Linked DNA regions of Callithrix jacchus. The protein of the gene in region 4 purifies or fractionates together with the protein of the main gene of each other region. This does not show direct contact. Links are inferred from orthologs where the notes say so. Each region holds a gene or a part of one and is shown on either strand. Other genes may lie near its edges. The genes, in order: SNU13, CD2BP2, DDX23, PRPF4, GPHN and TUT1.

Region 1 (3,902 bases), about 28 Mb from region 4:
CTCCAGTGATAGCAATGCTCCAATTGAGTCTGTATAAGATGATGTTTTGAACTGCCAAGACAGAAACTACCTGGTAGGAGGAAACAGCTCTTTCATAGCCTTCTGGTAAAAATGTCTTAAGCAGCTGGTAAGGTATGGTGGCTTACACCTGTAATCCCAACACTTTGTGAGGCTGAGATGGTGGATCACCTGCGGTCAGGAGTTCAAGACTAGCATGTCCAACATGGTCCCATCTTTACTAAAAATACAAAAAATCAGCCAGGCGTCATGGTGCATGCCTATAATCCCAGCTACTTGGCAGGCTGAGATAGGAGAGTCGTTTGAACCCAGGAGGCAGAGGCCACAGTGAGCCGAGAGATCATGCCATTGCACTCCAGCCTAGGCAACAAGAGCGAAACTCTTTCTGGAAGAAGAAAAGCACCTATCACCAGTCTAGTAATGCTATGTCTTCATTCCAGTATGAGCTGGATACCTACTAAGAATCAGGCATTGCCATTCTCTCATGAAAATGGAATTTATTTTTTTATTAGGATGCTCACAGAAGAACACATGAACCAGCACTAGTGTGATAAAGAGTACATCTGACCCACACTGTGGCACAACACAGGGGAAGGGCTCTCAGAGCTGGTGCCAACTGTCCACCAAAGAAAGTCCCATTCACCAGAGGAAGGTTGTTTCCTTAGATTCCATCGTCTCTGCTGCAGCTACCAGCCAGGTCTTCATGGTCTTCCAGGAATCCAGTTCATGTTCTCTGCCCTTGCCACTCCTGACACTTTCGAGACCTAGGTCGACTGCCTCATGGCTCACTCACCCAGGTCACCTCTGGAATCCTGCAGCACATCTCTTTGGTATGCTGCTGCCCTGCCACCCTCAAGGGCATGGTTGGGGGTTGGGGGAGAACATCAACATCAATCACATTATCAAAAGCAAACAGCAGGGGTACATTAGTAAATGATACTTGGACATAGCCTAACTACCTCACAGAACACATGCTTCCTCCCCAAATGATACATAATGCCCCAAGAACAAAGAAAACTTCTTGATCACTTTAACAGGTATGAATGATTCCGTGTGCCAGGCACAAGGGATACACAATGAATGGTATTTAATTCCACCATACTCTGCACACAATAGGAAGCTAGTGGCTAAAAGCCAGGAACTAGGTCTCTATCCTAGTTCCATCAGCTTTCTCCTGACTCTTTGTGCCTTTGAATGGTGCCACCGTCCTGCTTCAGCCTGTTCTGAACATTTGTTCGTTTTTCAAAAGGGAGGATAAAAGGATGAAGGATGGCAGAGAGAGGGAGGAAAGGAAGGGGGAAAACAACCCTATAAAACAGAACAAAAACACCACACAAATCCAGAAACCAGATTTAGTACTACAACATTTTATAACAATAGAGAATAGCTGAAACTACTACATGCTAACACAAACAATATGATACACAACCTCGGGGGAGAATTTGGCAGGGAGCACGTGGCAGAGGCCACAGGTTTAGACCAAGAGCCTTTCAATGGACTGCTGAATGGATTGAATCTGCTGTTTCAGCTGTGAGCCTTCTTTGATGGTGACGGAACAGGCGATGACAGGCCTGGAGACCCCACAGGCTCTCCCCAGGGCCTGCTTGGAGCGCACAAACACATAGGGCACGTTCTTGTCTTCGCACAGCAGCGGGAGGTGCAGAATGATCTCCAGTGGCTCAGCATCTGCAGCCATCACAATGAACTCAGAGATGCCCCTGTTGAGGGTTTTGGTGGCTGTGGAGAGAAGGGTGTGAAACTAATAGGTGATGTGGGCTTGGGCAGGGCAGCCACAACAAAGCAATTTCCAGAAAAAATTACAGGTACAAGAAAACTGGGCAAAATGCCTAGGCACATATAATTATGAGAGCGGCCCTGGGATATGACAAAAGATTCAACACAATGGCCTCTGCTGAAACCCTGCATTAAACCCACCACTTATCTTCAAAACACGTCCTGAATCTCATCACTTCTTCCTTTTATTTTTTTGAGACGGAGTCTTGCTCTTTTCCAGTTGGAGTGCAGAGGCGCAATCTCAGCTCATTTCAACCTCCACCTCCTGGGTTTAAGTGATTCTCCTGCCTCAGCCTCTCAAGTAGTTGGAATTACAGGCAAGTGCCACTGTGCCTGGCTAATTTTTGTATTTTTAGTAGAGACAAGGTTTCACCATGTTGTCCAGAATTCCTGACCTCAAGTGATACACCCACCTCGACCTCCCAAAGTGCTGAGCTTACAAGCTTAGGCCACTGTGCCCGGCCTAATCTGACCACTTCTTTCTACTCCTCTGCTACACTTGTCCAAGTCACCATCATCTCTTACCTTGTCAGCTGCAACAGCTTTCACAAACCCCACCAGCAAGAATTAGTATATTAATAATACAGTATTTCTCAAGGTATGTGTGACCAAGAGTCAGAGTTTTACTATCTCAATCTGCCATAATCAATACTTCTAGGAAGCTCACCCAACACGTGACTCACCATGCAAGTTCAACAACCCACAGCACCATTTCAGATGCCTACTATCCTGATGGCTTGCCTCTGTGGCTCAGTCCGAATACGCTGCATTCATGCCGGAGTACTCGACAAGGGCACACACTCTAGAGCTACACTGCCTGAGTGCAAATGAGAGCACTCATTGTCGTTTCACAAACGACTTTTAGCAAGGTATTTAACTTCCCTTACATTTATCATCTATAAAGTAACACAGTACAATAATTCTACCTAATAGGATTCTTTAAAGGATTAAACAAGTTAATAAGAATGGGGCCGGGTGCTGTGGGAGGCCGAGGTGGGATCACCTGAGGTCAGGAGTTCAAGACCAGCCTGGCCATCATGGTGACACCCCATCTTAAAAAAAAAAAAAAGTTAATAAGAATGATGAGGCTGGGCACAGTGGCTTGTACCTATAATCCCAGCAGTTTGTGAAGCCGAGGCAGGCAGACTGTTTGAACCCAGAAGTTTGAGACCATCCTGGGCAACATGGCAAAACCCCATCTCCACTAAAATATAAAAAGTCAGCCAGGTGTGGTGGTGTGTACCTGTAGTTCCAGCTACCTGGGAGGCTGAGGTGGGAGGATCACCTAAGCCCAGGAGGTCATGGCTGCAGCGAGCCCTGATGATGCCACCGCACTCCAGCCTGGGCTACAGAGTGAGACTGTCTCAAAAAAATAATAATAATAAATAAAAATGGCTGACACATGGAAACTGCAAAGCATGTTCAAAATCTTTCTACTCATTTCCCATTGTACTCACAGAAAAATGTAAACTGCTAACAATGGCCTACTAGGTCTCATGCGATCTCCTAGCACCTCTCACCCCTCACTTCATTCCAGCCACACGCCAGCCTCCTTAGAATCTCTCAAGCACGCCTTTGCACCACGCCCAAAAATGTTTCTTCCCAATACCCCTATTTGTTCTCTGCTCAAACTTCAACTCCTCAGACAAACCTTCTCTGAATACTTTACTTAGAAAGACCTTACCACTGCCATTTGTATCCCCCTTCTCTATTTTATTCTCTTTTACAGCATTCTTTACCACCAGACATAAAACCTATGTCTTTCTCCACTGAAATGTACACTCCAAGAAGGCAGAGACTTCGTTTTGTTCACCAATGCATCATCAGCATATACACATGTGCCTGGCACACAGTAGGCAGCCAATAAATAAGGGAAGAAAGAATACTTGACACTGAGGCAGAGGTATAAAAAATTGTTGCCTCTTTCTCCCTGAACTCCTAGTAAGCACATTCTGAATTGAAGTCTTGAGCCTGAGCATCTCCATTCAAGGACCTGTCTGTCCTCAGCACCTGCGTGCCTAGCACCATGCAAAGTGCGGCAAGAGGAAATAAGCTTGCTCTGTGTCCATGAGTCCTCATCTACCTGAGGT
Region 2 (3,958 bases), on a different chromosome or scaffold from region 4:
GCTGTGGAGAAGACCTCTGGCTTCCGGCCATCAGCACAGCGAAGGCCCTAATACACAACTAAAGGCTTTTATTGGAAAAGGGAAATTGACTGAAAAATGGCCTCCAATTTCCTCACTGCCTGAGACACTTGGGGGTCTCCTCCACAAAGTCCAGGAAAGAAGGGCCCACCAAACTGGGCCCCCAGCAGGCTCAGGTATAGAGGTCAAAGTCAATGCGTTTGGAGTTGTAGAACTGACCACCAGGGGGGTCCAACTTCCGGCAATAAACACCGTCCGGGAAGTAGCCTTCGCTCACCCAGGTCTGCAAGGAGAGGGCAGAGCTGGGGAAGGACTGACAGGAGTTGGGGAAGCAGGGACAAGGCAGAAGGAGGAAGAAAGCGGCTCACCTGCATCTGGGCGCTGGTGAAGGGTCCATACAGCTCGGCATCCCCTGTGTTCTCCCACTTATATTCCCACATCACATCCACCAGACCATCTCCCGGCGACTCTGCTTCTAAAATAACAGGCAAAGCCATTTGGCCTCCAGTGTCTGCCTCCTGCCCAGTGCCTCCTCCTGTGTCCTCCAAGCTCACCTCCTTTCTGGGTAGGGGTTGGGGTCTCCAGTTCCCCCTCCGCCACTTCCTCAGCAAACATGTCCAGGGAGGGTGGGGGTGTGGGATTGTGGGGTCCCAGGGTCTGGCACCCCAAACCCTTCAGCCTCATGGCCAACCGTTCCCGAGTTTCCTGGTACACGCCAAGGTTGCCCCGGGCCACCATCTGGTCGGCCAACCCAGAGAGCCGGTCCAGGCGCTGTGGGGAATTGGGTCGTCCGGGCCCCTTGCTGCTCCCTTTGCCTCCTCCTCGGGCCCCCAGACGCCTCAGTGCCCCAGCCACTGTTTCTCTAGGCAACAGGAGCTCCAAAAGTCCCTCCAAGAGAGCTTGGGCACTCATTGGGGTCTGGCCCAAGCCATCCTCCTCCTCCGAGTCTGAGGTCTGGCGCTGGCCAGGTGGCCGCTCCCGGATCTTCACCTGTAATGGGAAGAAGGGGAGTGATTTCCCACAAACTGCCACGGGAGCAGGCAGCAGCTCTGCCACTCCCTGGCCCCAGCCATGCCAGCCCCTTGGCCACACCCAGTCAATGTTGTCCAGCCAGCTGTCTCGGATCTGAGCATCCCGGTTCAGGAAGTAGTTGCCATCGGCATCGAAATGGCCTTCCTCCATCTCCTCCTGCAGGTTAAAAGGTGTGATCCGCACACCCCCCTCGCTGGGGAGTGTGGCTGCCTCCTGACCTGCACCAAAGACAGGGGTGTCCTTTGCTGGGGATGAAAAAAAAGAGACCGGGGCCTCCCTCACCTCACACCACCAGAGGTCTCTACTTTTTCCTTCAGTAGAGTGTATTCTTGAGTACAGCTCACCTTCTACATCCTCTGAGGACAAGATGTCATATTTGCTGGACCCCCCATCGTCATCATCCTCCTCATCGCTGTCCAAAGAGTGTTTGCCTTTGAAGCGGCTCCCAGGACCCCCTGACCCAGCCACAGGGTCCACCAGCTGTGAGCAGGAGCCAGGAAGTCAAGAAATGCAGGTTACTGGCTACCTCCCCAAATACTGCCAGATCTGGACCCAAATACTCCCCAAATATTTCAGGATCTCAACTGCTTCCCTAGATATTTCTTTTTTTTTTTTTCTTTGAGACAGAGTTCACTCTTGTTGCCCAAGCTGGAGTGCAATGGCTGATCTCAGCTCACTGCAACCTCCGGCTCCTGTGTTCAAGGGATTCCCCCACATCAGCCTCCCAACTAATTGGGACAGGTGCCCACCACCACCCGGCTAATTTTTAGTACTTTTAGTAGAAATGGGGTTTCACCAGGTTAGCCAGGCTGGTCTTCAACTCCCGACCTCAGGTGATCTGCCTGCCTTGGCCTTCCAAAGTGCTGGGATTACAAGCGTGGGCCACCGTGCCCAGCCCTACTTCCCCAAATATTTCAGGACCCACACTGAAGATGCTCCCAATCCATTCCTCAGTGAACCTGGAAAAACTAGGCTTTTCTCTGCCAGCCCGCCTTGCCCCTCCCAACTTTCTTCCTCCTCAGGCTTCTAGCTCCTCTCTTTCCCCCCACACAAAGAAGTTTGGTCCCCTCACCTTCTTCTTGGGGACACTGATATCATCCTCGTCCTCTTCATCTCCCACGCCTTGGAAGGTCACTTTCCTCTTTGGCATGACAGGGCAGAGAAGGTGTTCCTCAAGCTGAGGAAAGTATGCAGAGGAAGAGAACGGGGTGAGGAGGGGACTCGCCGCCAGAGGATTCCCGGCACAGCAAACATTTTTCTTGGTGACAAGTACAGTTTGAGAGGGAAGGGAGCACAAAAGCAGGGGCGGAAAGGGAGCTGGAAGCCAGAAGGCCTCTGGTACTCGGTCTGGCATCCTCGAATTAAATGGGGCGGGGACGGAGGGGCAATCCCTCTGGATCCCCCGACCCCGGCCAAAAGGAGACAGGCTCCACCATGTGACCACCTCCAAACCCAGCCCCCGCAGTCTGGGTACCACCAGGCTCGACGGGCTGACCCCCGCCTCCTACCCAGGCTCTCTCGGAGCTCGCGGGGCCCGGGCGGACCCAGGACCTGGCGCCCTCGCCGCCCCGTTCCTCCCTGCTCCGAACTCCCAATTCCGTGTGGTGAGCTCCACCTGTCCCGGGCTGCGTACAAAGTAGAGGGCCACGGGGATTCGGATGGTCCCACGCTCGCGCGCTCACCTGGGGATCCGCTGGAGGTGAGGCGGCAAAGAAGAGATGCTTGCGCCAGGGCTACATCCGGGGCACCCGGCCGCCATCACCCGGAAGAGGACTGAGGAATGCGCCGGGGAGGCCGGAAGTGGCTTCACTCCGGCCAGAGGACCAACTGGAAGAGCGGGCGGAAGTACGCGATGAGCGAGGGAAGACACCTCCACCCTTTCTTACGCCAGAAGTGACGTCAGTCGCGTGGGAGGAAAGTGGCGAAAAGAGGAGACTTAAGAATTCCTAGACTCTAACCCGGCGTGAGAAATGGCCGGAAGTAGCTTTGATTCTCTCATTGAGCCGTAGAGGCTCTGGAGAAAAAGTGGAGCGCATCTACTTAAAGGGTCGCTCAGTGTCAGGATTTAGGAGCAAAGTCTGAGCAGAGCCACTGGATTGCTTTCTTGTCTTCCTGTCCTGGGTTCGAGTAACCCTTCCCCCAGGGAAGGGTTCTGCGCCCCTACCGTGTCGCTAGAAATCCTGCCTTCGGCCGGGCGCCGTGGCTCACGCCTGTAATCCCAGCACTTTGGGAGGCCGAGGCGGGTGGATCACGAGGTCAAGAGATCGAGACCATCCTGGTCAACATGGTGAAACCCCGTCTCTACTAAAAATACACAAAAAATTAGCTGGGCATGGTGGTGCGCGGCTGTAGTCCCAGCTACTCGGGAGGCTGAGGCGGGAGAATTGCTTGAACCCAGGAGGCGGAGGTTGCGGTGAGCCAAGATCGCGCCACTGCACTCCAGCCTGGGTAACAAGAGCGAAACTCCGTCTCAAAAGAAAAAAGAAAAGAAAAGAAACCTCGTCTCTCCTAAACTACAAAAAAATTAGCCGGGCGTGGCGGCATACGCCTCTAGTCCCAGCTACTCGGGAGGCTGAGGCAGGAGAATTGCAAGCACCCGGGAGGCGGAGGTTGCATGCGGTGAGCCGAGATTGCGCCACTGCACTCCAGCCTGGGCAACCTCAAAAAAAAAAAAAAAAGGAATCCTGCTTTCGGGCTGGGCACGGTGGCACACGCCTGTGATCCTAGCGCTTTGAGAGGCCGAGGCGGGTGGATTGCCTGAGCTCAGGAGTTCAAGACCAGCCTGGGGAATACGGTGAAACCCGTCTCTACTAAAAATACAAAAATTTAGCCGGACATGGCGGCATGAGCCTGTAATCCCAGCTACTCGGGAGGCTAAGACAGGAGAATTGCTTGAACCCGGAAGGCG
Region 3 (4,088 bases), on a different chromosome or scaffold from region 4:
GAAAAGAAAAATGAACAAGAGGCCGGGCGTGGTGGCTCATGGCTGTAATCCCAATACTTTAGGAGGCCATGGCAGGAGGATCACAAGGTCAAGAGATCGAGATCATCCTGGTCAACATGATGATGCCCTGTCTCTACTAAAAATACAAAAATTGTCCCTGGTGGTCTAGTGGTTAGGATTCGGCGCTCTATCGTCACTGGTCATCAGAGAGATGCAAATCAAAACCACATTGAAATACCATCTCACGCCAGTTAGAATGGCAACCATTAAAAAATCTGGAGACAACAGATGCTGGAGAGGATGTGGAGAAAAAGGAACACTTTTACACAGTTGGTGGGAGTGTAAATTAGTTCAACCATTGTGGAAGACAGTGTGGCAATTCCTCAAGGCCTTAGAAATAGAAATTCCATTTGACCCAGCAATCCCATTACTGGGTATATATCCAAAGGACTATAAATTGTTCTACTATAAGGACACATGTACATGAATGTTCATTGCAGCACTGTTTACAATAGCAAAGACCTGGAATCAACCCAAATGCCCATTGATAATAGACTGGATTGGAAAAATGTGGCACATATACACCATGGAATATTATGCAGCAATCAGGAATGATGAGTTTGTGTCATTTGTGGGGACTGGATGAATCTGGAGAACATCATCCTCAGCAAACTGACACAAGAACAGAAAATGAAACACCGCATATTTTCACTCATAGGCAGGTGATGAAGAATGAGAACACATGGACACAGGGAGGGGAGTACTAAACACTGGGGTCTATTGGGGGGAAAAGGGGAGGACCAGTGGGAGGGGAGGTGGGGAGGGATAACCTGGGGAGAAATGCCAAATGTGGGTGAAGGGAAGAAAGGAAGCAAAACACACTGCCATGTGTGTACCTACGCAACTGTCTTGCATGTTCTGCTCATGTACCCCAAAACCTAAAATGCAATAAAAAATTAAAAAAAAAAAAAAAATTGTCCAGGGGTGGTGGCACGCCCCTGTGGTCCTAGCTACTTGGGAGACTGAGGCAGGAGAATCGCTTGAACCTGGGAGCTGGAGGGCAGAGACCAGAGATCGTGCCACTGCACTCCAGCCTAGCAATAGAGCAAGACTCCATCTCAAAAAAAAAAAAAAAAGAACAAGAAGCACTTCCCCCACCCCCCTTTTTATTTTGAGATGGAGTCTTGCTCTGTCACCAGGCTGGAGTGCAATGGTGCGATCTCAGCCTCTGGGTTCAAGCAATTCTCCTGCCTTAACCTCCAAGTAGTTGGGATTATAGGCACCTGACACTATACTCGGCTAATTTTTGTACTTTTAGTAGAGACGTAGTTTCACCATCTTGGCCAGGTTGGTCTTGCACTCCTGATCTCATGATCCACCCACGTAGGCCTCCCAAACTGCAGGGATTACAGGCATGAGCCATCGTACCTGGCCTCACAAGAAGCACTTTTAAAAGATGAGGATGACCCATTTTATCTCACAAACATCTGAGAAATGACTGACTGTTCTGTATCAGTACATCATGTACATCACATAGAAATACCTATGTCTTGACCAGGTATGGTGTCTCATGCCTATAATCTCAGCACTTTGGGAGGCTGAGGTGGGCAGATCGCTTGTCCAGGAGTTGAAGACCAACCTGGGCAATATGCCAAAAACCCATCTTTACTAAAAATATAAAAAATTAGCCAGGCATGGTGGCGCACACTACTCAGGAGGCTGAGGTAGAAAGACTGCTAGGGCCTGGGAGGTGGAAGTTGCAGTGAGCTAAGATTGTGCCAACTGCACCCCAGCTTGGGCAATGAGGCAAAACCCTCTCTCAAAAAAAAGTAGAAAGAAAGAAAAAAAAAAAAAGAACAGTTATAGCCCTAAGAAAACAATCCCAAAGGAAGGCTACTTTCTCTGTACAGCATTCTGGATATCATTCATTCTTTCAACAAATATTCACCAAGCACCTAAAAGGTGCCAGAAATCATTATAGGTAATGGAGACAAAACAGTAAAGAAAACAAAGGCACTGAGTGCCGTGGCTGACATCTGTAATCCCAACACTTTGGGAGGCTAAAGGAGTTCAGGACCAGCCTGACCAACATGGTGAAACCCCATCTCTACTAAAACTACAAAATTGGCCAGGCGTGGTGGCATGCGCCTGTAATCCCAGGTACTTAGGAGGCTGAGGCAGGGGAATCACTTGAACCCAGGAGGCAGAGGTTACAGTGAGCCAAGATTGCCCCACTGTTCTCTAGCCTGGGTGACAGAGCCAGATCCTGTCTCAAAACAAACTAACAAAAAACCACAGTGATACGATGGGTAGGGATATGAACAAGAGATAGGTGGCTCAGGGAAGAAGTTTTCATTGATTCTTAAGCTGAGTTTGAATGATGGGAAAAAGAGCCATGAAAAGATCAGGCTATAAAACCCTTATTAGATAGAACAGATATGAGTACTAAGAAACTGGAGCAGGAACTAGCTTACCATGTTTACCAGTTCTGTTTTGTTGTTGTTGTTGTCGCTGAGACAGGGTCTCTCTCTCTCATCCAGGCTGGAGGGCAGTGGCACAATCATGGCACACTGCAGCCTTGACTTCCCAGGCTCAAGCGATCCTCCTGCCTCAGCCTCCCAAGTAGCCAGGACTGTAGGCATATGCTATCACACTCAACTATTTTTTTTTTTTTTTTTTGAGATGGAGTCTCACTCTGCTGCCCAGGCTGGAATGCAGTGGTATGATCTTGGCTCACTGCAATCTCCACCTGCTGGGTTCAAACAATTCTCCTCCCTTGGTGTCCTAAGTAGCTGGGACTACAGAAGTGTGCCGCCATGCCTGGCTAATTTTTTTTTTTTTTTTTTTTTTTGAGACAGAGTCTCACTCAGTTGCCAAGTGCCAGGCTGGAGTACACTCGCATGATCTTGGCTCACTGCAACCTCTGCCTCCTGGATTCAAGCAATTCTCCTGCCTCAGCCTCCCAAGTAGCTGGGACTACAGGCGCGCGCCACCATGCCCGGCTAATTTTTGTATTTTTAGTAGAGACGGGGTTTCACCATGTTGGCCAGGATGGTCTCGATCTCTTGACCTCATGATCCGCCCACCTTGGCCTCCCAAACTGCTGGGATTATAGGTGTAAACTACCTCACCCGGCTCTTAATTTTTTTTTTTTTTTGAGACAGAGTCTTGCTCTGTCACGGAGGCTGGAGTGAAACAGCATGATCTCAGCTCACCGCAACCTCCACCTCCCAGATTCAAGCGATTCTCCTTCCTCAGCCTCCCGAGTAGCTGGTATTACAGGCACGTGCCAACATGTCTGGCTAATTTTTGTATTTTTAGTAGAGGTGTGGTTTCACCATGTTGGCCAGTCTGGTCTCAAACTCCTGACCTCAGGTAATCGCCCACCTAAACCTCCCAAAGTGCTGGGATTACAGACATGAGCCACTGCATCCAGCCCCAACTAATTCTTTAAATTTTTATTAGAGACACAGTCTCAATTTGTTGCCCAGGCTAGTCTTGAACTCCAGGGCTCAAACAATCCTTCTGCCTCTGCCTCCCAAAGTGCTGGTATTACAGGTGTGAGCCACTGCATAACTACAGTACAGTTAAAAACATCTGTGGCCGGGCATGGGGCTCATGCCTGTAATCCCAGCACTTTGGGAGGCTGAGGCAGGTGGACTGCCTGAGCTCAGGAGTTCAAGACCAGCCTGGGCAAGACAGTGAAACCCCATCTCTACAAAAATACAAAAAATTAGCCAGGTATGACAGCTTGTGCCTATAATCCCAGCTACTCAGGAGGCTGAGACAGGAGAATCACTTGAACCCGGGAGGCAGAGGCTGCAGTGAGCCGAGATAGAGCCATTGCACTCCAGCCTGGGCACAAGAGTGAAACTCAGTCCCCCACTAAAAAAAAAAAAAAAAATAGAGAGAGAAAGAAAACCATATTTGTATGGCCAGGCCTGGTGGCTCATGCCTGTAGTTCCAGCACCTTGTGAGGCTGAGGAGGAAGGATCACTTGAGCCCAGGAGTTCAACTCAAGAGCAGCCAGGATAATATAGCAAGACTTCCTGTCTATTCTAAACAATAAAATTTTACATTTATAAACA
Region 4 (3,500 bases):
TAAATAACCAACAGAAAGGAGGTTGTACAATAGAGACGTCATGTTTGCTTTCTAAACGTTTGTTTGAATCCTGACACAATGGGTTTGCTTTAAGTTAACATGAAGATTGCCAAACTTCAAAGTAAAGTAAAAGATATTTTCTGACAAAGCAGATGTTCAGTTCAGTTTCCTGATGCAGTCAGCATTCCAAGCAAACACAACAGGAAGAGGTCAGTCTTTTTCGCAGCATAACCATCGGGGGAGCTGCAGTCTACTGCTTCACCTCCTATTCTCAAGGAAAGGAAAAGTGCTCGCTGTTACGCACTCTTTAACCAAGGAGTGGTGAGAGGTGCCTCTTTACCCGAGGGCTGCCAGACTCTATCTAGTTCAGCCACCTCGCTCTCTGGGTCACATGCAGTCCTGAAGCATGTACCATGTTATGGAAAACCAAGTTTCAAGAATTAAAAATGCAGAGTCAGTCACAATCCTGAGTGCTGTGAGGAAGGCTATAAGGCATTCAAACAAAGTATATATATATTTTTTAAGAGACAGGGTCTCTCTGTCACACAGGCTACAGTGCATTGGTGTGATCTCACCTCACTGCAACCTCCGTCTTCCAGGCTTAAGTGATCCTCCCACCTCAGTCTCCTGAGTAGCTGGGACCATAGGCACAAGCCACCACGCCCGGCTAATTTTTTAGTAGAGATGGCGTTTTGCTATGTTGCCCAGGCTAGTCTTGAACTCCTGACCTCAAGTAGTCTGCTTGCCTTGGCCTCCCAAAGTACTAGGATTACAGGTTTGAGCCACCACTCCCGGCCAAACAAAAGATAAATGAAAACAATGTCTACACAGTTTGTGGCAGGGTGTAAAAAGGAGAAATAAATTTTCAACCATGAGAGGGGTTCACCATCACCTAGGGACTGGGCTGCCTGCCTGGAGTGGGGGCTGACATGGAAATCCAATTCTACTGAGGGTCTACACATGGTAATTGGCAGAAAACATGGTATAACTAAACACTTGAATTCTTCTCTTTTGAGGAAATAGCTCCTTAGAGACAGCTTGAGGTTCAAGTCCTTTTTCCATTGTCTTGTCTATTCAGCCATCCAGAGCTTGAAGGTCCTGTCATATGAGCAAGTGGCTATGAGCTGCCCATCGGAAGAAATATCTAGGCCCATCACTTTGCCTTCGTGGCCAGCCAGAGTCTTCAGCGGGGACCAGCCTGGGTGCGTCCAGATCTTGGCTGTGTTGTCATAGGCACCAGTAAGCAAGAAGTTCCCATGGATAGCTACAGAAGAAAAGGGGAATTGCTTGAGGACTTTATTCAAAAGAGCAGAAGATAACAAAATCACAAATGTCTGCAAAAACATGCAATTTAAAAAAAACGTATTTCTACATTCAGAAAAAAATCAACACTGATGCTATCTTCCTACGAGGCCTCCGGGTAAAGGGGATAACCCCAGGTGGACTTAAGGGACCAAATAACACTAAGGTCTTTTGGCGCATTCCCTGACAGAGAATCTGTTCAGAATAATATTAAGGACTCAGTGCTCAGAACATCCATAGAGGAAAGAATGAAGCAAAGCACTCACAGCATGCTTCTCCACAGATCTAAGGCATGGCAGGGGGAAGGAAATTAGAATTTGTTCCTTTAACTGTGGTCATATGCTCTCCTGTTCTACTTCTCAGTTAAGCTAAAGCCTGGCCTGCATTCCAGAGAAACACATCCTGTTTGCCTGTGTCATTTAGATCTAAACCAGGAGGAAGGCTTACGCTCAAACTTGACACCAGTCACTAAGTTCTGATGAGCAGGGATGGTGTAGACGCAACGCCGCTGTCGAAGGTCCCACACTTTGCAGGTGTTGTCACCGCTGCCGGTTGCGATGTGATAGCTGTGGATTGGATGCAGTATTGAAGTTAGAAGTACAGTGCTTTCTGACCAAGAACCCTTTTTCACCCCTCATTCACTGTGTTTATTTTACCCATTGGGGGAGAAATTTATTCCATAGATTTCTTTCAGGTGGCCTTCTAAGAACATGATGCAACGTCCCGTGCGTAGGTCCCAAACTCGACCAAATGCATCCAGTCCCCTGATAAAATAATTTACAAATGAACACTGTGAATCCAGTTCTCTGTGGAAGGAGACATACACAAGAGGTGAGAGTACTGAACTGCCCCTGGCTATATGGGAGAAGCCTTACCCAGTGCCAGCCAAAGAGCCATCTTGATGGAAGGCAATGTCATACACACCCATGCTGTGGCCCTCCTGATGCAGGATCTCCTCTTGAGCCTCCAAATCCCATAAGCGCCATGAACGGTCATAGCTAAAATGAAATCACACTAACAATCAACCAGCTGGTATTTATTCAGTTTCTACAACACATAAGTCATCATAGCTTAAGTTATTAATGCTTCTGAACTACTCATAGAAACATATAACAGGAAGCTCCTTTCTGACATAAATAATAACTCAACAACTAAGCTTATCTGTCTTAGGTGCTAACTGAGAACCGTGGAATAGCTGTAAACCTCTAATGCCTAATTTTTTTTGAGACAGAGTCTCACTCCGTCGCCCAGGCTGGAGTGCAGTGATGCAATCTCGGCTCACTGCAACCTCCATCTCCTGGGTTTAAGCCATTCTCCTGCCTCAGCCTCCTGAGTAGCTGGGACTACAGGCGTGCACCATCATGCCCGGCTAATTTTTGTGTTTTTTTTTTTGTAGAAATAGAGTTTCACCATGTTGGCCAGGCTGGTCTCGAACTCCTGAGCTCAGGTGATCTGCCCACCTTGGCCTTCCAAAGTGCTGGGATTACAGGTATGAGCCATCATGTACAACCTAGTGGCTATTTTAATAACAGGATTCCCCAAGAATGGCCCAGAAAAGACTCTGTTGCCTTCTTTCTTCCTCCACTGTTACGTTCTTTCATTCCTCAAGCATTTATACATTTACTGGGCCCTAAATTGGATGTTGGGGATATACAAATCGCTCATAACCCACACATGTATGGTCAGATGATTTTCAGTAAGGGTATTAAAACAATTCCAACAGACAAAGGAAAGTCTCTTCAATACACATTGGCAGAATTGACTATGGACATGGAGATAAAGACAAAAGAGACAAACTCAATTAAAAAAACCAGGCAAAGTACTCAACAGCAACAGTGATCAGGGTCTTAAGAATGAAAACCATGGGGTTTCACTACACACCTGCTAGATGGGGAGAAGCAGTAAGACTGACGACACCAAATGTTAACAGGGACGTGAAATAACCAGAATTCTGGGAATGTAAAATGGTGTAACTGTTTTGGAAAACTGGAGGGGAGTTTAGAAAAAGTTAAATATACACCTAAGGCCTCTACCCTGTGACCCAGCAATTGTTCTCATGTCCGCAAAAAGCCCGGTACAAGAATATTTATAGCAGCTGCATTCTGACTGGCCCAAACCTGGAAACAGCCCAAGTGTCCATCAACAGGAGAATGGATAAACTATGGTACAGTCACGCAAATAATAACCCCCAGCAATTA
Region 5 (3,500 bases), on a different chromosome or scaffold from region 4:
GTTTAAAGATATATTTTAAAAGCTAAGGTTAAAAATAAACATATATTCTCCCAAGCTGAGAAGATAGTAAAATTTGTCCATGCCAAGAGACAGATGCTTTCCTTGATCTGAAGCTTTTCTTTTTAATCACCTTTCCACATACAAGACATAAAATTCAACTGTTGGGAAAGAGACCACATTGCCTGCTGTTAAAACTGTCTAAGCAGATTTATTGGCATCAGGGAAGCCCGCAGAGCATTGAAATCCAGAACACATGCATCCGTAGACTCTACCAGATGACAAGACACAGTTCCAATGTCACAGTATTATTCATAGCCCAAAAATGTAAAACTGATTATTGCCATTAATGTACAGAAATCTACTACCAGGCAAACTATAAGTCCTTTACTGAAATTTCTGCAGGTATTCGGTAACCTTGGCATGGTATTAAACTCATGATTCATGGGAAGAGAAGAAAGATATTATCTCCATGCACACTTCATTAGGGTAGCCATCTATATCCATCTACATATATATATAATATATAAATATATAAATTATATATATAATGTACTAGTTCAAATATTAAATCTTGCTTTACAATTGGTACATTTTTTAAAAACATAAAAATTAGAGCAAAAAAAATTTATTTATTGGTACTAAACCTTCTAATTTTTCAGGAACCTGGGTTAGAAATTCAGTGTTTTCAAAAGGTATAGCAAATAGTTTTTGGTTTCTCTATATTTGTGTATGTCCTAGGCCTATCTGATGGTAAAAGTATCTGAGTAGCTAAATTCTACTGCTCAGAAATTCTGTTTGAAATTACATAATCTGCTCTTATTATAGGGCACTGAAGAACTTGAAGTGCGAATTCTGGTGCAAGCTCGGCCAGGCCAAGATATCAGGTAACTTCAAAACACATACAATATATAGCCCACTTTTGTTTCTTTTTCTTTTTTTTTTACACCCATCTCTCTTCAGTCATTTATTTTATTTTATTTTATTTTATTTTTGGCTGGCTTTTGTTTCTACATGATCATTTATTTAGGAAACCCTGGGTACTAAATATGTTCCCATGTCAATTAGCCATTAATTTTCAGGGCTTTAACAAGAAGAAAAATGAATTCTGTTTCACATCTCTGCCCTACCTACTTTTTAATGAAGGACAGTAAAAGCAAGTTAGTCAAAGGCAAGATGAGAAAGAGGTAAAGTCACGAGCCTACATATTCTACAGTTAATTCTACTCCTAGATAATCCTGAATTACCCAATCCCATCCCTAAGTAATCCAGAATTTGGTATTAACTCAGATAATCCAAGAATTGGGTATTTACACAATTAACTTATAGCATATGCTCTACTGAGCACCAATAATACGGGAATAATCTACTCCTCTTTATATACAAAGAGGAGGCTATTGTCCTATAATAAATAGTGTGTATACCTTAAATTATTTTTCTTACAATGGAATATGTTTACCTTGATTCCATTAATACTAATTTGCTGAACGTCCCTTTGTAATGAAACTACACTTCTCCCATCCTTATGGCAGCACACCAAGGTGAATGTACCTCTGTGGCCACAGATCAGGACCGACCTACGTGGAAATTAGCTCTATGACCATAACCTCATTGGCATCATTCTCCTTGCTACAAAGCTAGCCAGCTGTGGACCTCTTATCATCAATGCTCCTAGATATTTTGATACAGATTCTTGCCTTATCAAAGAAAGTTTGCAATGGGTAGTTTTACTATAATGTAGCACAAAACAATTTGTAATTTTCTTCACAGGTACTCAAGAAAACAAAATTTCAAATATGAAGTAACAGGTTCTTCTTTAGCCGTAATATAATCCAATCCTATTTCTGTTTTCTGTTGTGTGATTCAACTTTTAAAATTAAAAAAGCATAGGATTTTTAGAATCCCTTCATTTCGTTATTTTCCTACTACTTTATTTCTTGACTTTTTTCTCCTCTTGAATGTCCTCCTTTTTTGACACTAAAGTTTCCCTCATTAGTTGAGAAAATGTTCTTAATCACACTGTTTATGGTTCTGCTTTGACTTTCAGACCCATCGGCCATGACATTAAAAGAGGGGAATGTGTTTTGGCCAAAGGAACCCACATGGGCCCCTCAGAGATTGGTCTTCTAGCAACTGTAGGTGTCACAGAGGTTGAAGTTAACAAGTTTCCAGTGGTTGCAGTCATGTCAACAGGGAATGAGGTATTAAAAATAAAAGTGGGGTGAGGGCCTGTAAGGTAAAGGTATTTCTGACATCTGTTTTGTGTTGTAAATAGAATGTTGTATATTATAGATCATACCAGTGGGTCCACATTCTTATAAGAGGGAACAATAAATTGGCCTTAGGATAGTTTCAAGTTCAGAATATGAGAACAAGGAAGAACCAGTAAAAAAAAATATGTATTATGAAATGTCCTCTTCTACTTACTAGAATGAAATATTATAACCAATGGCCTTTTCACATATTCAGTATACATAAACAAAGAATTTTAGCTGCTAGCTATAGATATTAAACTATGCAAACTCAGTACTTTGTCTGTTAAGACAATGAATTGTGCCCATCCTGCTGTTGAAATGATAGGCCACTTCTGTGTGGTAAGTATCAGTGAATCAGGACATCATGGCTAGCACTTCTTGTGAAAAGTTCCATGTAATCTTTAATCACCAAGAGGGACTTGATAATCAGGTTTTTTTTTTTTTTCTCTCTCTCTCTCTCTCTCTACAGCATCTCTAGTGGCATGGTATTCAGAATAGGTTGAAATGTCATTTCATTCCTGATTTAGAAAAGAGAATTTAGTCCATCTCTTTCTGAGAACTCTTGAAAAACTTCCTATTGCCTGTTTTGCTTAGGTTGTGCAAAACTTCAGTCAGAAACTCTAAGGTCAAATGGAGAATATTAAAAAGTGAATCTGCTGGAAACTCAAAACCTTATAGAAGAATCAGAAACTATTGAGATTTTTTAAAGTATTAATAATTCCTCTGACCTTACTATTAAAGAAAAATTAATGGTATATTTTAAAATCTCTTTGTTCTGAAAATAAACCCATCATTATTTTTAATTTCTTGAAGTCTTGGAAATGAAAATTTTCAAAGGTCATTTTAGGACCTTATAGTTCTTTTGGTTGGAGCAAAACAATGGACTATTTTATTTTGCTAATGGAGAGCTAAATCAGCATTCCAGATGTGCTTACTTCCCAGGATACATGTACTAGTCATTTCTAAAAATTATCAGTTGACAGAAAACAAACATTCTTTTTAATTTGATCTACACAGTGATGATTTTAATATCCTTAGGACCAAATAACATTATATTTAGCATCAGAAATAAATTTCTGTTAAACTGGCTAACTCATTGAACCATTCTCTTTTATGATTTACTTACATGCTTTGTACATCAAGTAAGTTCATGGAGTTTGAGAAAGCAAAACAGAATTAGCACACTCATGGCCCAGGCATGGTGCCTTATACTTGTAATTCCAACACTTCAGGAGGATCAGTTGAGAC
Region 6 (4,007 bases), on a different chromosome or scaffold from region 4:
GGTTCCACCATGTTGGTTGGCCAGGCTGGTCTCGAACTCCTGACCTCAGGTGATCCGCCCACCTTGTTTGGCCTCCCAAACTGCTGGGATTACAGGAGTGAGCCACCACACCCAGCCCTGATTCATTCTTTACCCCCGGAACCATTCACTTTACCTTGTCCTTATCCATGACAATACTGGCCACAGGTCCAAATGCTTGGAAGTACTCAGAGAGCTTGGCAGAATCCACATCCCTGGGAAAGCCACTGACAAATACACTTCGAAGTCCCTGGGCCTTTCTCGCAGCTCGTAGTTCTACCAGGTGCCGGTGCTTTCTGCCTCCCAAGTGGGCATCGAGGCTGGGTCCTGCAAAGACAAGTGTGAGACAAAAACTCCCAAAGCACTCTTTAGTGAGTCTACCCTTGCTCTCTGCATACCTAATCCTCTGATCCTTCCAAGCCACAGAAACTGACCTTTGAATAAGCAAAGTCCTGGCTCCTTTCACCTTCCTCTCTTATACTTTTGTCTAAATAATACATTCTCTATTTTTATTTTTGAGACAGAGTCTCACTCTGTCACCCAGGCTGAAGTTCAGTGGCAGAGTCTCAGTTCACTGCAACTTGCACCTACCAGGTTCAAGAAATTCTCCTGCCTCAGCCTCCTGAGTAGCTGGGACTACAGGCGTCTGCTACCATACCCGGCTAATTTTTGTATTTTTAGTAAAGATAGGGTTTCACTATGTTGGCCAGGCTGGTCTTGAACTCCTGACCTCAAGTGATCTGCCTGTCTCAGCCTCCCAAAGTGCTGGGATTACAGGCATGAGCCACCGCACCTGGCCTAAATAGTACATTTTCTAAGTGGTTCCCAAGAGAACTGGCTACACAAGTATTTTGTTTACTTTTATTTTTAATTTTTACTTAAAGACCAGTGCGACAGTATAGCTTAAACCACCTATTTGTGCTAGGTAGAGTTGGAAAGAAATTAACAGGTAACTTATCCAGGTCATCCACAGAAAAGCTAGATACTAGGATTCAGGCCAGGCACGGTGGCTCACACCTGTATTCCCAGCACTTTGGGAGGCCTAGGCGGGCAGATTACGAGGTCAAGAGATCAAGACCATCCTGGCCAACATGGTGAAACCCCATCTCTACTAAAAATACAAAAATCAGCTGGGCGTGGTGGCACGTGCCTGTAGTCCCAGCTACTCAGGAGGCTGAGGCAGAAGAATCGCTTGAACCCGGGAGGTGGAGGTTGCAGAGAGCCAAGATCGTGCCACTGCACTCCAGCCTGGTGACAGAGCAAGACTCCATCTCAAAACAACAACAACAACAAAAAGTATTAGGATCCTGGAATACTTCGTGGGTCATCTCTGGGTATGGTATGGTATAGTGATGTCAAGGGCAGGATCTGAAATCACACTGCCCAAGTTCAAGTCCCAACTCTGTGAAGCTGTATGAAATCTTGGTCAAGTTACAAAGCCTCTCTGTGCACCTACTTCCTCAGATATAAAATGGAAATAAAAGTACCTAGCACCAAACACACAGGTATTATTCATATATATCACTTGGAGAGTCTCGTACATGGTAAATGTCAAAAAACTAGCCATTGCTATTATTTTATTATGAGTTAGCTGCTTGATGTCAAAGTAAATGTGGGGCCAAGGAAGACGCCTAGGTTTCTGGCCTGGCCTATTGGATGAACAGTGATAGTGCCATTCACAGAGAAAAGGAAGAATGGAAGTAGACCCACAGGGAAGACTGTGATTCCAGACTTCAAAAGTGGGGCCAGCACTTTGGTTCACGCCTGTAATCCCAGTACTTTGAAGGCCAAGAGGGGAAGATCACTTGAGGCCAGGAGTTGGAAACCAGCCTAGATAACATGGCAAAACCCTGTATCTACAGAAAAACAAAAAATTAGACAGGTGTGGTGGTACGCGCCTGTCCACCCAGCTACTTGGGAGGCTAACCAGGAGAATGGCTTGAGCCTGGGAGGTTGAGGCTGCAGTGAACCAAGATCACAACACTGCACTGCAGCCTAGGTGACAGAGCAAGAGCCTGTTTCAGAAGGAAAAAAAAAAAAAGTGGAATTTGCGGTTTTGATAAACTCCTTCTCTGTCATACAAGAACCTTGTCTGTTTTTCGAAACCCATCTTCTGTCTCTTTCTCACTGGTACCTTATGGTCTAGTCATTCATGCCACCTATTTCATCCGTCCCCACCTTTGAGTAAGTCCTCTGTAGGGCTTCTCTGACTTAGTTACCGATTCTCTGTGGTCCCACAGTTCTCCAAACATAACTACAAAGCATTGAAACTTTCTCCATCTCTAGAGGGTGAGCCCCTCCATCTCTGAACCCCCTTCCCCCACCCTAAAGATCAGCAGAATACCAGCCACAGAGCATATGTCCTACAGATGACGGTTAAAGAAGGAATAAAACAATGAAACTTGCGTCGTGGAGATGTCATATACTGAGGAGGAGTGTAATGTGGTGGGACTTTCTCGACTCTCCAAATCCCCTCGAACTTGCGGAGTAAAAACGGAGGTGAGACCCTACCAACCGACTTGACAGGAACGAAGACCTATAACCCTAACTTTCGCCAGGATCAAAAGACTAAAGCCCGTAACCACCCAGGTCCCTCACTAGCCACCGCTTACGGTTGGCTGTAGTAACGTGGCACAGGCAGCAGCGGAAACCCCCACGCGGCAGCGATTCGACATCCGAATCCACCGCCGCCATAGCGACTCTCCTGTACCGACAAATACACAAGCACCTCTGCCACCACCAGAACCCACTTCTCCAAAGCTCAACGCGCTCGGAAGTAACTTCCGCCCGTCCGATAGGAAGTGACAAAAAGTCTTCCAATTGCGCGGACAAACTCCTCCGGAAACCAAGCTCCAGCTACTCCGGGTTCCGTTTCTAGCCGGTGTCAAGTCCCCGCCCATTTTGGGAAAAGCCGCGCCTTACGATGCTTATCTGCATGCAGTAAGCCGATTGGTGTGCTCTAAACTGTTCAGACGCCGATTGGCCCAAAGGGCGTAAATATTTATGACAGCAGCCACAAAGGCCGGCGCTGGGTGGTGTCTCGCGGCCCCTCCTTCTCCCAGCAGTAAACACTCGTGCTTCCTTACCTTCGACCCTTATTTGCCCGACGAATAAAGGCGGAGGAGGATCGGCGGCTTTCAGTCCTTTGCCCCACGGAGCCCAGGACTGTCCCTGGACTTCCAATCTTTTCAGGGCTGGTACTCCCTCCCTTTCCTCCCATTGTCCTCTCGCAAAACGGGTATTCTGCGACTGCTTCTAGCCCTAGTTAGGGAGCTCTGCCACTATCGGGCACCTTCCGGACTCCATGAGGTCCCGGGAGCCAGGACCATTCCTTCCGCAGTATTGGGCTGCGTGGTGTACTCCGGAGGTGCCAGAGCCACTGTCGCACCTCGGAGCAGTGCGACAGTGCGACAAGACAAAACCGAGTGCTGGTAACCTAGTAAAGACACTGGAGGGGAGAAATGCTGTTGAACCCCAGCAGGTATAATTGTCAGTTCCTCCGAACACCGCTGAGATGAAGGCTCGGGACAGTGAGGGGCTACCTACGGGAGCTGGGGATGCCCTAGGGACAGGGACCATAACAAGGTGCAGAGGACCATCATGTGGGCTCGGCAGCTTGTACTGTAGTTATCAGCCCACAGCTTTGAATGATGCAAAGAGAAATGGACTTAAGGCGACAGCGAGCAAGTCGCAAGTGCTGAGGCTGTTCCCCATCTCTAAAGGAAGTGCCCAAGGAGCACACAGTAGGCTGAACTTTTTGTTCTCTCCCCTAAGGTGTTCCTTCTAATGGGCCCAACTCAGGCATCTAATCTCAGTGTCCCAAACCTTTAAAGCAGGAAATGGTGTTACAGTGAATCAGGATATCAAGGCAGTTGCTAAGGCTGGCCTTGAGGCTCCTGAGGCAGTAAGCAGGCTGTAAACATACACCCAGAGGTGCTCAGGTGTTCAGTGGTAGAATTCTCACCTGCCAAGTAACACCACACAGCTAG

The links.
Region 1: the proteins of PRPF4 (region 4) and SNU13 purify together in Homo sapiens (affinity purification with mass spectrometry; 4 studies listed by BioGRID and IntAct, counting the BioPlex papers as one, with this or other methods). This does not show direct contact. The link is inferred for Callithrix jacchus from reciprocal best matches to the Homo sapiens genes PRPF4 and SNU13.
Region 2: the proteins of PRPF4 (region 4) and CD2BP2 purify together in Homo sapiens (affinity purification with mass spectrometry; 3 studies listed by BioGRID and IntAct, with this or other methods). This does not show direct contact. The link is inferred for Callithrix jacchus from reciprocal best matches to the Homo sapiens genes PRPF4 and CD2BP2.
Region 3: the proteins of PRPF4 (region 4) and DDX23 purify together in Homo sapiens (affinity purification with mass spectrometry; 4 studies listed by BioGRID and IntAct, counting the BioPlex papers as one, with this or other methods). This does not show direct contact. The link is inferred for Callithrix jacchus from reciprocal best matches to the Homo sapiens genes PRPF4 and DDX23.
Region 5: the proteins of PRPF4 (region 4) and GPHN purify together in Homo sapiens (affinity purification with mass spectrometry; 3 studies listed by BioGRID and IntAct, counting the BioPlex papers as one, with this or other methods). This does not show direct contact. The link is inferred for Callithrix jacchus from reciprocal best matches to the Homo sapiens genes PRPF4 and GPHN.
Region 6: the proteins of PRPF4 (region 4) and TUT1 purify together in Homo sapiens (co-immunoprecipitation; 3 studies listed by BioGRID and IntAct, counting the BioPlex papers as one, with this or other methods). This does not show direct contact. The link is inferred for Callithrix jacchus from reciprocal best matches to the Homo sapiens genes PRPF4 and TUT1.

The regions. Positions count from the first base shown.
Region 1 is NC_133502.1:190,083,628-190,087,529, reverse strand, and holds the end of SNU13 (NHP2-like protein 1), read right to left. Parts: intron 1,756-3,902; coding exon 1,493-1,755; 3' UTR 501-1,492; downstream 1-500.
Region 2 is NC_133513.1:29,873,078-29,877,035, forward strand, and holds the start of CD2BP2 (CD2 antigen cytoplasmic tail-binding protein 2), read right to left. Parts: upstream 2,801-3,958; 5' UTR 2,666-2,800; exon of another isoform or gene 2,559-2,665; intron 2,228-2,558; 5' UTR 2,201-2,227; coding exon 2,123-2,200; intron 1,531-2,122; coding exon 1,395-1,530; intron 1,269-1,394; coding exon 1,111-1,268; intron 1,009-1,110; coding exon 573-1,008; intron 494-572; coding exon 387-493; intron 302-386; coding exon 191-301; 3' UTR 1-190. UniProt on the Homo sapiens protein: Involved in pre-mRNA splicing as component of the U5 snRNP complex that is involved in spliceosome assembly.
Region 3 is NC_133510.1:70,720,723-70,724,810, reverse strand, and holds the start of DDX23 (putative ATP-dependent RNA helicase DDX23), read right to left. Parts: upstream 2,801-4,088; 5' UTR 2,643-2,800; coding exon 2,475-2,642; intron 1-2,474. UniProt on the Homo sapiens protein: Involved in pre-mRNA splicing and its phosphorylated form (by SRPK2) is required for spliceosomal B complex formation.
Region 4 is NC_133502.1:161,602,742-161,606,241, reverse strand, and holds part of PRPF4 (U4/U6 small nuclear ribonucleoprotein Prp4), read right to left. Parts: intron 2,301-3,500; coding exon 2,178-2,300; intron 2,067-2,177; coding exon 1,959-2,066; intron 1,869-1,958; coding exon 1,750-1,868; intron 1,265-1,749; coding exon 1,071-1,264; 3' UTR 1-1,070. UniProt on the Homo sapiens protein: Plays a role in pre-mRNA splicing as component of the U4/U6-U5 tri-snRNP complex that is involved in spliceosome assembly, and as component of the precatalytic spliceosome (spliceosome B complex).
Region 5 is NC_133509.1:102,065,735-102,069,234, forward strand, and holds part of GPHN (gephyrin), read left to right. Parts: intron 1-825; coding exon 826-884; intron 885-2,044; coding exon 2,045-2,198; intron 2,199-3,500. UniProt on the Homo sapiens protein: Microtubule-associated protein involved in membrane protein-cytoskeleton interactions. It is thought to anchor the inhibitory glycine receptor (GLYR) to subsynaptic microtubules.
Region 6 is NC_133511.1:119,859,982-119,863,988, forward strand, and holds the start of TUT1 (speckle targeted PIP5K1A-regulated poly(A) polymerase), read right to left. Parts: upstream 2,801-4,007; 5' UTR 2,713-2,800; coding exon 2,631-2,712; exon of another isoform or gene 2,441-2,630; coding exon of another isoform or gene 2,425-2,440; intron 346-2,424; coding exon 155-345; intron 1-154. UniProt on the Homo sapiens protein: Poly(A) polymerase that creates the 3'-poly(A) tail of specific pre-mRNAs. Localizes to nuclear speckles together with PIP5K1A and mediates polyadenylation of a select set of mRNAs, such as HMOX1.